Lepisosteus oculatus: one gene and its partner. The protein of the gene in region 2 interacts with the protein of the main gene of each other region in a pairwise test. Links are inferred from orthologs where the notes say so. Each region holds a gene or a part of one and is shown on either strand. Other genes may lie near its edges.

Region 1 (7,507 bases), on a different chromosome or scaffold from region 2:
TGATCGGTTTCTGACAAAACAGCTGGAGCAGAACCAGAAAGGACAGGGAGCTCCAAGACCAAGATTGAGAATCACTGCATTACAAGATGTAACCCTCAGGAACAGTGCAGAAAAAAAAGTTGCAAAGTTCACACTTCAATTTCAATGATAACATTACAAAAGAAGAAAACCGGACCCCAATTTCAAGATGTGTCTGCAAATCAACATCAGCTGTTTTAAAGAAATTGGGGAAGTCTTACCATATGCAGATTTAGTGTTGCAACACTTCCAATAAAGACATGGTGCAATGACTTTCACATAAAAACACACACTTTAGAATGAAAGCAAAAGAAAACAAAAAAAATCTTAAAATAGCAGCTCAATAAATGTGCACAATCCAATCCTCTTAATTTCAGTTCCATGTCCATGTCATCCCAATTTAATTTGTCTAATCTATAGGAGCGCGCAGACATGCTCATTGCAAAACTGGATAGTGAAGAAAGCTGAAACACCAGACAAATTACTGAGACACAACAGCACAGGAACTAGTGCCTCACATATTTCTTCAAACGACAGGAAGACATTCAGTGACAGGGAAACAAATCTGAATATATTTTAGGAAAAATAACTGAAATATCTTAACAGTAAATGTGATCCTTTTTTTATTGTGAACAGATGAACACCAAAATTTTAAGTACATCTTGGCCAGCGTCACAAAACACACAAAATGTTGGGAGATGAACCCTTCAGCAGAAACGACTGGATCCCGCCTTGATTTGAGAATGATTTTTTTCCACAATTTTCATCTGGCTCATTTTCTCACACATCCGTTAACCTTCCAGCGTGTCTTTGAACTGTGGGAGGAAACTGGAGTACCCAGCAAAAACCTACGTGAATATGGGGAGAACATACAAACTCCACACAGATAGCAACCCAGGTCTTGAACTGAGCCCAGGACCCCAGTCCTGCGAGGCAGTAATGCTGAACACTGTCACCCATCTATGGAGCAATTAGCTACAAACTACAAACGTCGTTAGATGGGTCAAATGGCCTCCTTTCATTGGTAACATTTCTTAAATTCTTACCATACTGAGATTATTGCATTAAAAAAGGGAGATGAGTTGAAGTTGAGTATTGCTGCAGCAGGTGGACATCAGGCCATGAGTGTCAACACTACGTATTTGCACACTGGCAAATAAACACAATAGGGAATCTTCAGAATCTGATGCAACGTGTTTTGGAGTCAGAAATACAGTATTATCCTTGCCATGAAGTTGCAGACGGAACCAGTTAATTTCCATACCGCTTCAAGGTGAAAAACTCTTACTTAACTTCATTTCTACACCATTATAGGAAGATAATCAAAAGCTGCCATCACGGCCCCCCTCACCAACTCTTGGTGTACTTTATCTTAAGCTACTGAATAGCACCTCAAGAGAAAAGCAACCCCAAAAACAGAAATCTATTTTACAAACTGGTCAAACAAAAAGCATTAGATTGAACTATGAACTCAAATGATTTTTGACTGGACACTTAAATCCCACGTATTTCCATTTTCTTCATTTTTTTTAGCTCATGTTGCTTAATTCCCATATTGGTGGATGGACATGCTCTATCCTGCTGAAGTTCTTTCTAAGGAAGCCTTTTATTCTGTTGTACAGTTCTACAGATCATTAGTGAAGTATTTCTGACTGTCTAGGCATAACCACTTAAAGGAACCTGAAAGATCCAACAAAAGGCACCAAAACTTTGATATAAAAAATGCAAAGTAGGGGTTAAACTACAATACATTTAACACGACACATTCTGACATTTATTTTTTAACTTTTAACTTTTTCATTAGCATTTACAGTACTTGTTGAGGTTTGCAACAGTTTAAAATGTCTGATGCTGTGCATTCTTAAAGCAGAGAAAAACATTCAGAAGAGACATTGTTTCATCTAGTTTGGTATTGGTAAGAAAGACATGAAGTAAACACAGGTGAAATGGAAGAGCCGTGAAAAGTAGTGCACGTTTTTGCACAAAAATGAAAACATTCAATTTAAACTTTGAAGTAGGAGTGACAGTTGAGGTTCCAGTTGTTTGTTCTTGTTTGACTGGAGCCTCAGTGATCAAGACAGCCCATCCTGCTGAGATTTCACGAGCAACAGCATCAGTGTGCAATGACAGCAAGATGTCATCACCAATGGTGAACAGTGGACACAAGTGCACACGCCAGGGTCATGACAGCCGTGCATTAATTCGAAGAGCAGGGCAAGACAAGCGAGCAACTGCATATTTCAGCCTGCGGCACAAGCTGCCAGTTTGATCCGAAACAATCCGCAGAGAACTCCGCAGAGTGGGATACCACTGTTGGTCTGAAGTGCACAAAGCACTCATCACATTGGGCAGTACATGTTTTAGAGCCCAGTGGTGCAAAGTGCACAAGCAATGGAATACTGAGCAGTAGAGAAATGTGATTCAGTCAGATTAAACATCTTTCACCATGTTCCTGACAAATGCTTGAGTGCACCTAAAGCCCAAAAGACTTAGTTTCAACGATGAAGGGTGCTGGGGGTTCCGTAATATGTAGGGAACATTTTCCTAGCGTGGTTTGGGTACACTTATTTACTTAAAAGGCAAATCCATGCTTATGGCTATTGTTCTGAATTGTTCTGAATTGTGTACCACTCCTCCATATTTGGAGCACTAGCTTTTCCTCAAGGTGAGTTTGTACTACAGTGCGATGACACTCAACACTTTTACCTACAAAAGAAAAAAAATGTTCTGCCTACTTATATGATGTTTTAATCACACAGCAACATACAATATTACATATAATGAAAATTCTAAATACTAAATAATTCTAAATAATAATCTCAGATTTATAACTGGCGACGGTATGACAAGACCATGGATAGCTCACTTTGGTGCTATACAGTATCTTTGCCAATGTTGCATCACTAAGTGTTCCTTTTACATCCTAAAAAAAGACGGACACAACACTGAAGGCCTAAATAGAGGACTCATATTCAGAATAAACAAGAAATGGAAGAAAATAATGTTTATGTTTTCGCCTTCGAGTTATAATTCCTAACAGTCCATAACCAGTTCCAGTATAGGTAACTTCCTAAAAACAAAACGTTACCATTTTCTAAAACGTGCAGTAACTACATTTAAAACGCACGGACACCGGATTTCTTGCATAATGCAGGAAAGGCATTTCCTAACTGCATTATTTCACAAAAAACCTTGCTAAACGAAATGGAGAAAAGGAATAGGCATTTCGATATCCATCACTATTGTTATCTCCACTCTTTCAACCTCAATGAGCAGCAATAGAATTAAATACCTCTCGTAGTGTTATCGTGACTTATTCGGTACTGTTATTAACAAATCGTGCCGTCCCCTTTGTCGCTCTGTACAGAATGTAACCACAGAGGCCCCATCTTTTCCTCCTCGTCTCTGGGGCAGCTCTAACAATACCCTCCCTCTGCCTCCGTATTGTCAATGCTTACCCATAAGTATCCTCATTTGTTTCTTGCCAAAAAGCTTGGAGAAAAGCGACGAGATAGTGAGGCCCATGTTGTGCGAGAGTACCCCCCCTTTAACACTTCGAGTGATGTCTACAGTTAGAAACAGAAATCGTTTAAACAGCCCCTATAGAAAATGGGAGTCTCTCTACTGCCTCCTCCTCTGATGCAGGTGCCACGTCCAGGCCAACGCGGAAGAAATTACGTCACCGCTTTCATGAAACTTTATTAGCAATCATAGGGTGTCTCATTTCCAAAACTGCTGTAATAAACCCAATCTGCCCCCAAACGATTCTGTGAGCAACGCTCAGAAAAATGTATGCTTTATTTTGGAATGTTTGGTAGATGTATGCAGCATAACACACATGCATTACCTTTGCAAGTACAGACGTAATCTGCTAAAATGGAAATGACATGTCACATTTTATCCGTCCATGAACACAAAGCCGCTTATTCCTGGCAATGGCCAGAATAACCCGGTGTCCTGTCCGAGAAGCATAAGGCACATACAGGAGCATGCCCCGGGCAGGACACTATATTTTAATATTTTCGTTAATATTGTACCTCGAACAACCTGCAGGGTCCGCCGTATGCGTTACAATATCAACACCCTGTAAAAGGTATTTACAACTAATGATCGCTGCATTATAATAAGATCTTTAAAATAAGACCCCGCGTTTTTCGTTTGTTCTGCTAATTCAATTTGAACATACATTTATCTCGTCTATTGTCTAGATATCTCAGGTTGTTAGTTAAAAAAAAACAGCCAGGAGATCAACCCGGTGGGGAGCAACAATTATTTTACGATACGTCGTAATTTTGTTTGTTTATTCTGAAACAAATATAAAGTAAAGAGACAAGCATACAAAATAATAAAACTCTTCTCTGAATGCTTCAATTTTTCACAGACTAATTATTTCCGACCTTACTAAGATGGCCCCCATAAATTTGTTGTAAAAACTTTATTGCTTAACAAATCCAATATACATGAAAACTCAGCCGTTACTAAAAGGACCCTTTCCAGGAAGTACGAGTTACGGACACGTAAGCTGTGTACAAGATAGCAAGCTTAAACGACTAATCGAGGACAGAGAGAAAAAAACAAGTACGTTTGCAGCTTTTTCATTAGTTCAAAATACGAAATGTAGAGTTAGTAGATGTTCTGTATTCGAGACATTTCTCCATGTGACTGTCAGCTTTGTTAGGCCTCCAGGAAAATTCCAGATATCACAACATTGCACTTTGTTTTTATTTTTTATTATTTATTCATAATGGAATTATTAACTTTATGGCAGCCGTTGCTGAAAGATGGAAACTAAAGCTGAGAATTACATCTTAAATTAGATATTCTTGAGTAGAGGTTTGCTTGCATAATTTTATTAACTCTTATTTTGAGTAGAACTGGTCTTTTTAGCCACTCAGAATGCTTTTTCCTTCAGTTTTTTTTCAGTGCACTGCTTTTTCCTTCAGTTTTTAAATCGGAGATTCTCTTGGTTAGCACATTACAGTTTGAAGTGAAAGAACGACATCTGAACTCGTTTCTATGCATATCTAGTTCTCCTTTGTTGCGAGAATTGAATGACAAATGCTCGGTTTTATACGGTGGTTTGCTGTGTTTTATTGCATATGCGAAATGATCATCCCCACCGTCTTTGTGCGTGTATTTGTTTCACGTTTATTTTTTTACTTAATTGTTACGGGGATTTCAAATTTCATGTTAAGTTTTTGTCTGATTCATTTTTCTTTTTATTTCATAGTGCCTCGGGACATGACGTGTATGATTGTTTAGCTGAAACCAGCAAACATGGAGAAGTTTGGAATGAATTTTGGGGGTGGCCCCAGTAAGAAGGAGCTGCTGGAAACTATAGAAAGTCTGAAAAAACAGCTGGTTCAGTACCAGACCCGTTTTAAAGACGTTGTCAGGGCTTACAAAAGCCTTCTGAAGGAAAAGGAAGCTTTGGAGGCAAGCTTGAAAGTTCTGACTGTATCCCAGGAAGCTGACTTGAGCTATTCGAATGCAACGCCTTCTGGGGCCTCTGGCCTGGAGCGGCGTTCTTCGGACCTTGGAGACGACAAGTGTTCGTTGCACAGCGAAGACAGCGCGGACACAGCGGCCAGTGTGGACACCGCTAACAGCGTGGCCAGCAGCAGCACCAAGGGAGAGGCGACCGAAGAAGAAAAGAGCCTTGGTGAGCACGGGCCGGCTGTGTCCGCTTTGCAAAGGGCTGAAGACAATAATGGCTCGGAGAGTGGCGTCAGCTCCAGCAGTGGGGAGCAGCAGGTGGCTGGGGAGGCTGACAGGAGAGTCCTGCAGCTGAAAGCCCAGCTGTCCACCCTGACCAGCTCCTTGGCCACTGTGACGCAGGAGAAGTCAAGGATGGAGGCCTCCTTCCAGGCGGACAAGAAGAAGGTGAAGCAGGACCTTGAGGATCTGTGCAAAAGCCTGGAGGAGGAGAGGAGTCATCATGAAGCGGAAGTGAGAAGCCTGCAGGAGCAGCTCGCGGAGGCCAAAGCCCGGGTCATCACCCAGCAACACGAGCGGGCACAGGAGCAAGGAGACCACGCGCTGATGCTCCGTGAGCTCCAGAAGCTGCTGCAGGAGGAGCGGGCCGCCAGGCAAGATGTAGAGCTTAAGCTGGAGGAGACCAGAGAAGCTCTGGTAGAGAAAATGACAACCGCCGACCGTGTGGGAGACTATGAAGCCCAGGTTAGGGTGCTTTCCACGGAGCTGGAGGAAATGAGGAAAACTCTCGAGGAGGCCGAGAGAGAGAAGTGCAAAGCCGACCCCCGCGTGGGAGAACTACAGCAGGAGATTGAAGATCTCAAAGCGCACTTCCAGCTACAAATCCAACAGGAGATGAGAAAGGTAATTTTGGTTCTCTTTCATACGGTATGTTCTTTAGCTCTTGTGAGTAGTTCATTCAGCAAAGAAGCTTGAAGAGAGTGGAGGCTGAGTATTGCAATCCAGGAGTCACAAGTTCGAACGTAGATGAGATTTCATAGGTTCCCCAAAAGGCAGCACAAAATCAGCTGAGCACTGCTGAAATTGATTTCCCCTGCCTGCTGCACAACAGCAAGCCTTAGAATCGACCAGGTGCTCGCGAGCCTGCGGTGGTTTCTGTGAGAGACGCACCATTGCTCCTGACACTGCTATCTCTCCTGTGAGGCACAGTGGAGCTCGCTGAGTGTTAAATGATTGACAGTGTGGCAGGTGTGCACGCGCATACAGTGCAGCCTGTAAGTATTTGGACAGTGTATTTGTTTTGGCTCTGTATTCTAGCACATTGGATTTGAAATAAAACAATATCCATGAGGTTAAAGTGCAGAATGTCAAGGTTAATTCGAGGGTATTTATGTCTATATTGGGTGAACGATATACACAGCCCTTTTTACACATAGTCCCCCCATTTCAGGGGACCAATAGTAATTGGACACATTAACATAATCTTAAATAAAATAGTCATGTTTAGTACTTGGTAGCAAATCCTTTGCAGTTGATGACTGCCTGAAGTCTGCGACCCATAGACATCACCAGACGCTGGGTATCTTCCCTGGTGATGCTCTGCCAGGCCTGTAATGCAGCCATTTTCAGGTCCTGCTTATTTCGGCGGCTTTTTAGCTTCAGTCTTGTCTTCAGTAAGTGAAGTGCATGCTCAGTGGGATTCAAGTCGGGTGATTGACCTGGCCAAGAAAGTTCCACTTTTTGGCCCTGAAAAACTCCACAGTTGCTTTAGCAGTATGTTTGGGGTTAAGGCTCTGCATGGCTTGGCACCTCAGTACCTGTCTGAACTATTATCGCCCTACTCTCCACCTCGCAACCTTCGCTCTTCTAATTCTGCTCTCCTTACTGTCCCCCAAGCCTGTCTACATTGTATGGGTGACAGGGCCTTCTCCTGGTATGCCCCCAAGCTCTGGAACTCTCTCCCCAAGGATATCAGAGAGTCACCTTCTCTAAACTCCTTCAAATCCAGACTCAAAACCCTCTGCTTCAGAAAAGCCTTTTCTTAACTGGTTCC
Region 2 (7,573 bases):
CTGGCACAGTCACGTGGGCACAGTTACCTGAGAGGTGGCATTCCCTGAGCAGCCAGGGGACAGATGGCACTGTTTGTGTGGGAGATTAGGGGCCTGAGCTTCAGCAGGCGAGACAAGAAACAACAGAAAAGCACCCGCAAGCAGGCTCGATGACAACACACGCGCACACCTGAACGACAGGCTCGGAGCGAGCTGGCCAGTTTTTTTTTCCCTGCAGATCTGTGATACACTGTAATAATGGAATTTGAAGAAGACAATTCTGAAAAAGAGATAGTTTTTCAAAAAACGTACGAGTTGCCCTTTCTACAGAAAATTTCAAGCAGTATGAAAAGGATTTAGAAACGATTTAAACTCCAGCTGTTGTTATCAATAATTACTGTACATAAAGCAAAACAACGGCTGTAATAAGTGATTCAGTTTGGTGTTAGTTCACCAGACTTTTTTTTACAGTTTATCTTGAATGCTGGAAGTCCTGTGTTGTGTCCATTCCTTGTAGGCATCTGCAATGCCTGATGTGAGTCCGGCGTCCACTCTCAGGTGTACATTTCAGAACAACTGACTTTCTAATTACTATAGTTATGATACAGTAGCTCATATTTTCCAGTGACTGTGAATTAGTATCTATGAGCTTTCCAAGTTAATGTCTTTCCACAGATCTCTTATGATCTGTAGCGTTTCTCTTCAGTCCCTTGATTCTGAATGATGTGCTCCTTTCTCAGCACAGGAACATGCGAGTGCAGCCTTGGCACCACTGAGGAAAGGAAGAAACGGAGCTCTAGCAACTTTGTAAGAAGGGGGAAAGGTAAGAAAAATGGTCACGTTGTGCTCCAACGTTTGACTGGTGCCGGTGCTTCGCCGTTTGTGCTTCTACTGTACTGCAGGCGAACCCTTAGCTTGAACTTTTTTTTTTTCCTTAGCTTGAACTGAGCTCGCCGCTGGAAGGAGGGGCTTTTTTCCCGTTTCAGGCACGACGGCTCATGAATGAATTTGCAATCAATTATTAAAAAATAAAATAAAAGTTGTACACAGGGTTTAAAGGATGACCCTTACTCAATCACAAGGTTTGAGCCTTGACCGCCTTATTTTTTTATTCTCAAATTAAAACCTCACGTGCGGCATAAAAGCTTGGCCCTCTCTCCAGAAATCCAACCTTGAATCTACTGTGACCCCGCAGTAACGCGCCGAGAAGGCCGTACTTGGACACACGCTCCCGACCCTGCTGGCCGGCCGAGTTCACGGCCACAGGTGCCGGCCCGGCGCTGTTGGCGGCGCTAGACTCAGTCCGGCTGACGGGTACCTGTCTGCAGCGGTAGGCCGTGCCGATGAGCCGGCCGTCGCCACCTGAACCCTCTTCCATATTTCATAGCAGACTTTATCCAAGTCGTCTTCGGGCGCTTTGTCGTGTATCCACACAGATCGAGGGAAGGGACCCGCCGCGTAGGCCCTCTTCAGCTGGCGCTTGGTTTTAACGCGATCCACTCTCGGGAACATTTTCCTGAAAACTCGAGTGTCTTTAGTGAAGCTGGTTTGGGCTGCTGACCACCCTGAAGACCCGACCACACCAATGGAATGTTTGGGTTTAATTCTTCGATCTGTGATTTATAAATAATAACAACAATAAAGGAAACCATAGCAACAAGTGTATTAGAAGTTTGAGCGACAACAGGTTACAGTACGTGCAAGTGCGCGTGTACTACAGTATGTACAGCCGGTATATTTAAACACAACAATCTGGATGGATAGGAATGAATATAACACGGGAATTCAAAAGCGACAAAGAAAAATATCTTAGAGGGATAAAGCCCAACGAGGCAGAACGAGCGCAACATTCGCAGAGAAGGGGCAGTGAACGAACTCGAAAAGGGTATTCAAAATAATTGACTTCAGAACAATACTTTCTTTCCAGCTCCCGAAACAGACCCGGTTACAACCTTTGTGCGGCGATAAATTCGGACAGCAAGTGGAAGCTTTAGAAATGGCGAGGAGCCGTTTAAACATAGTTTTAAACAATGAATAATACGCTCACAGGCGTCACAGAGCTGCTCGCCCTGTACCTACAGCATGAGCGCAGAAAGCGCAAGCGGAGGGCGCATGAGGCTCTAGATGGCGGCAGGGAGAAACCTGTCAGCTCTCTGTCGTGGGAGGTCTGGAGCGGGCAGTGCCAGGGGAAGACAAAGTCCCGAGAGGAGACGAGAAGAAACAATTAAATGACTTGTTAATGCCACACTGGCGTTGCCCGGGCACTTTAGGCATTATTTAGCATAATTTGTGAGTATGAATTCTTGACTCTGCACGTAGACACTATTTGAATATTATGTTTAAAGACAGACACATTTCATTAACCGGATGACTTTATCGTCAGGGGTGTAAGGAAACTAATTACCTGTTACGGCGAAGAAATGCAAATGACACTGAAATTCACTGGCGTGTGTTCGGCGTCAATTGTAGAGGCTGTCTGGCCTTGAAGAGCGGAAAACTGTTTCACAGATCATTTTAAACGCACTTAACTGTTCATTTAACCAAATATATCAGTATTACAAATGAATAGCATTGCATTATTGTGATCTATACTACCACGTCTATCCAAAGTGACAACTGTAGTATTTCCGACAGGAAACTGGGGTGTGACCGGTGATGGGAGCTGTAGGGGCTGGTTCAGCACCGTAGTTAAACCGCTGCTGCGCTTTGGCACGATTCCTCTCGGCCGACTTTGGTGGAGCCAGCGGAGATACCCCGATAGTGCAGCTGGGGTGCCAGACCAGCAGCAGGAGCGAGCAGGGTCCCCAAATGCTCGGAGTCAAAGGACTTTGATTATCTATCGGGTGCAAAACAGATGAACTCTCGAGTCCTTGTTACTCCCCGGAGGCAGCGGCGAGTGCAGCTGAAGCACATTCTACTGCTCTCCGCAGAAAATCGAAAATCCTACCTCCTGCCCGTCCGGCGGTTTGGGGGCGTGATGTACGGTACATGCTAGACGTGGGCATTTTCTGAGTGCTACCGTTAAAATGTACAGTATATATGCATTGTGTAATGTATATCCGATAAAGCTTTCTCACTCCATAAGCAATACGTACGATGTCAGCTAAATACGTTTTGTGATTCAGTGGCTTACAGTGTGACCTCACTGCTTAATCATCTTTACACATTTAATTATTATTTTTTTTCATCTTTAGCTACTGGGTCCCGCTGTTTTGAATAAATGTACTGCATTTTGAGGAGCAGAGAGTATTAACCTTATAGTTCCCTTTGTTCTCCTTGTTAAATATTAATTGCTTTAAAAACTTTGTTGTACTAAAAAAAAAAACGTGAGCGTGTTTTCAAATTATTTCCACTTTGCTCTTGCTCCGAGGTCAGTGAATAATTCAGAGTATGATAAATGATTCAAGTACAAAGCAATAATGTTCACTCTAAATTGTAAACCACTGTAAACGCGTTCACATTGTAATGCGTCTGTGTATTCTGACAACACGGTCATTTGTGTTCCAATGAAAAAATAAATGCCGACTAAAATACTGCAAGTTTCATGCACTGCTTACAGTATTTAGTGTTATCAGATATCCAGGACGATACTCAGGTTTTAGATGATGGTTTCGTGTTCTTGTCAGAAACCGTCAAATATTAATAAAAGATATTGCCCTGTAATTTAATTAATACATTTCAGTTCTACACACGTAAGGCGAACACAATGGTTAGATAGTGCCAATACAGGACGTGGCCAGGTGTTTTTCATACTGTATATGGGCTTTTACCTGCGAGGAAAAGTGAAAGTATAATTGTGGATCCCTCAGAAACCGGTATACGTAATGGACTCAAACTGATACCTTCAATCGTTTTCGTGTACTGTGCACAAGAGCAGTCTGGGTTTTAACACATTCTTTTGTCTTTTTGAGTGGTGTATATACTGTATATACAGTATATATAAAAAAAACACCCGTGAAGGTTCAGAGTGAGATCAGTAACGGGCTCAGCGGCGCTGCACGCCGGCAGGTGGGGGCGTCTCGGCCCGCGGGCTCGGGCCCTGGGGACCCCCCTGTGTAACGCATTCCGTGGTCAGCCGTTCATTTAAAACGTATGATTATCAATCTCAAAAGTATCATGTGAACGAGCAGAGCGCCAGGACACGAAGCCTTATGATAGGCTAAGCACGATCACCAATAAGGCGGGTTATACTCGAAGGAGAGAGAGGGAGAACGCGAGAGGGGAGAAGCCGCACTCCGCAGTCTCCGCGCTCAACAGCAGCGTCGATAAAACGTGAAATACGGTAATCACGAACGGCCAGGAGAAGCTGGAAAAGAAACGAACCATTGTTCCGCTGAGAGACAATCCCAAGATGTGTGAGAAGAGGAAAACTTTACTGTCGATAAAAGGCATCGGTTTTCCTTCACAGTTGCGTCTGATCAGCGCTTAATTGGCAGCAGCGTTATAATTCCACACCGGAGTGAGACCGGGGATATGAACAGTAGCGATTATCCTATTCGTTCATCTAATACATCAAAATAAGAATACTGTCCATCTTCGAAGGAAGAGCAGAGCGGAAGGCGGGTTAACCCTACCTAAAACACAAAATAGAAAACCCGGATTTCCAGAAGGGAGGAGTACATATGAGCCTTGATCTCGGCTAGATAAGTCTTTCTTGTCTTTTTCTTGGTTTTTTTTTTTTTGGGGGGGGGGGGGGGATCTTTTGGCTTGAGATTTCCCAACCCCGGGATCTGCAGGAGATGGTTCATTCCAGCTGCAGGAGCGGAGCCTCAATGCACTGGGATTTTTCTCAGCGCCGATACAAAGTGAATCTTCCCTTTCAAACCATCTGATAGCGTCGCTGCCAGATTTCTGCCATGAGAGCCTCTTTGAATTCGGAGGGAAGAGGACTGGTAAGGACTGCGTGTAGATGCTCTTACAGCGGCCCGAGGAAACTGGACAGACTGGGGATTTTTGCGCTAATGAGGGTGGAAGTGCCGGTACACTACTGGAGCCGGGTTCTCTTCTTGTACATGGGATTGCTGGCTTCTTCTGCGAAGGGTAAGTTGCCCATTTCACGTTTCCGCCAGCGGGAGAAGTCAGGAGCAGTACCCTGTGCGACAAGACGGCGTTTTTGTACTGTACGCTTGTTGGTTAGCGATGGCTGTTATTTACTGTCAATCCATCGTTAAGTTCCTCGGAGATAAATAGATTTGAAACACACCGGACGCATAACGCGGTGCCTCGGACATCCTCCATTATCTGGATACAATAGCTTATGTTCAGCATCCAGCGTGAATTCTCTGGTGAAGGCATGAAACGGGTGTTAAAGGGGAGAGGGGGAGAAAACTTCCGCTGTACTGCGGTTAAAACCCCTTTTCGTTCTTATCTCTTTCCCCGTGTTTCGTGATATTGGCTCGTCGTCCTGCTCGGTCGGTGTAATAAGCATGGCACCCCGTTTACCTGTTTATAGAAGACAGGTGCTTGTGCGCTGAAGGAGCGGTCGTGCACGCTGGACTTGCTGTGTCCTTCGCATGTTGGTCTGTTCTGTCCAAGCCCGATTGTAACCCCCCCCCAACTCCACCCCCTCCGTCCTAAATGTGGTCGGGTTTGTGTAAAAACCTCCTATTCCTCCAATCTCTACAGTACACAGAAGACTGGAAGAATGGCAGAGATTCAGTACTGCGATCTTGCCAAAAATAGTTTTCTGTGTATGAGCGAGAAGAAGGCTAAGATGATGAACTTTTTGTTGTTGCTGCTGTTATGTTAATAATCTACAGTAGTAGTGGGGAAGCGGGTGTGTATAGGAGTTGTGGTGGTGGAATATGTGTATATACAGTATGTGTGAGCTGGAGAACGGAGAAATTTGTCGGCAGATTCTTAATAACGCACTCCAGTTACAGGCAGTGGCTGCTGGAGGCTGAGTTGGGTACACCATTCTGTTTGCCGAAGGAGAGATGGAAGTCCCTCCTTCAATCTCGTGTTGACACGATGGAGTTTATTTTTAAAATTAAATTCCCCAAGAGGCACGCGTCTACCCTGAGTTTTTACAGAGCTTTTTGCCTGATTTTTAATATCAATACTGTGCGCCATAACTTTCCCATGTATCTGTATAAGGAGCGCGGCTGGCGTTGAACAGTCGGGCAAACACTCTCCCGCGGAGAAAAGTCACTCTTTATGTTTACGAGCAGTGATTTACGTCACCTTACAGGCTCGTTATTAATTTATTGTATCGCATCCTTGACGCGAAGGCGCTTGGTGTGAGCGGGACCACGGCCACTCGCCGCGCAGCGCTCGTGATGCACTACGCATCTGTACACAGAGGAACAAGGTCCGTCGTTTTGGATAAAACCACCAGCCAGATACCCTGATGGTGATTAAAGGCTTGATCTGAGATTTGAAACTGCACTTTCATTGGACCACAGTGTTACTTTCCAGCACTTTATTTAATAAACACGTCTTATGTTATTAAATAAAGTGCAGTTATTCAATACTTCGTCAGTCGTTTAACTGTAACAAATACTATATTTGTATTACCGAATTATAGGGAATATACTGTATACAGTAGTTGATAATGGGGAAAAGAGGGCGGCGTGGCGGCTAGCTCCTGACTAGAGCTGGGACTCCTGGACTGTGACTTCTGCGCTGGCAGGTGGGTTGTCTCCGGCTGCTCTGGAGTCCGGAGACCAGCTGGGTGGCTCCACTGGTGCCATGCCTGCAGGTGCCCAGGGTGTGGTCCTGCCTCCTGCCCGTGCCCGGCTCCCACGAGCTTCCGGGTATAAAGAGCTTAAGGAAAAATGGATGAAAGGACAGACATACAGTAGGAAAACATCAAACACTCTTCGTCCGCAAAAAAAAAAAGAAATCACACTTCTTTCTCTTTGATTTGTCAAAAATGCCTCCAGGATTATGATCTGTATATCACCTACTACTGCAAACCCGAAATAAAATAATGAGGATTCCACTTCACACACAGTTACTGTACGTGAATGCGCCTCTCTCAGACGCCGCGGCTCGATGTTCCCTAGTCCTGTTGCTGTTGAAGAAAAACCGGAGAGAGTGGGTGAAATAATAAAAAAAAAGAAATGCGTCGGAGTTAGTTGTAAATGCAAAGAAAGCAAATGCGAGATGTTCCTGTCACGGCAGCGATGGGCGGATGAATGGACTGCCTCCGTGTGAAGCGCTCTGCGTTAAAGCCGGAGCTCGCCGGTTCCTCGGAGCGCGCAGAAGGATGGAGACAGAGACTGCACGTCGTCCACTTATCTGTTCAGAAGAGCATTACTTTCCTTAAACCGATTAATGAGTAAGAGAATTTGAAAGCCGCTTATTAATCAATTTCCACTGCGATTTCAAAAGTATAAATAGCCTTATTGTCTCACAGCATATAGAAGCAGTGTAATTGCGCGTTGCCTTCCTCCGCGATTTTATTTGAATTCGCTCTCGCAAGCAGTAGCCTGCCTCTCCCGTTGTGCGGCACTAAAGCTTCGTTAGAGCCCTTTTCTCAGACGCGAGTGCTGTATTACAGGTGTGAAAATAAAATGAAGCTTAGAACTAAACCTAGTAAACTCGAAACCGATGCAGACGTGTCTTCTGCGCTCCTACAGTTAAAATCACT

Evidence for each region. The genes of interacting proteins can lie anywhere in the genome.
Region 1: the proteins of uncharacterized protein C1orf94 (region 2) and gcc1 interact in binary tests that used the Homo sapiens proteins (3 or more experiments, as listed by UniProt). The two-hybrid records come from large-scale screens. The link is inferred for Lepisosteus oculatus from reciprocal best matches to the Homo sapiens genes C1orf94 and GCC1.

Annotation. Positions count from the first base shown.
Region 1 is NC_090702.1:13,128,544-13,136,050, reverse strand, and holds the start of gcc1 (GRIP and coiled-coil domain-containing protein 1), read left to right. Parts: upstream 1-4,495; 5' UTR 4,496-4,596; intron 4,597-5,248; 5' UTR 5,249-5,295; coding exon 5,296-6,357; intron 6,358-7,507. Other genes in the region: ADP-ribosylation factor 4-like, read right to left, coding at 3,477-3,543. UniProt on the Homo sapiens protein: Probably involved in maintaining Golgi structure.
Region 2 is NC_090706.1:1,999,635-2,007,207, reverse strand, and holds the start of uncharacterized protein C1orf94, read right to left. Parts: upstream 3,016-7,573; 5' UTR 2,985-3,015; coding exon 2,927-2,984; exon of another isoform or gene 2,575-2,926; intron 2,461-2,574; exon of another isoform or gene 2,384-2,460; intron 2,269-2,383; exon of another isoform or gene 1,672-2,268; intron 1,593-1,671; coding exon 1,298-1,592; intron 1-1,297. Other genes in the region: csmd2 (CUB and sushi domain-containing protein 2), read left to right, coding at 4,836-5,019.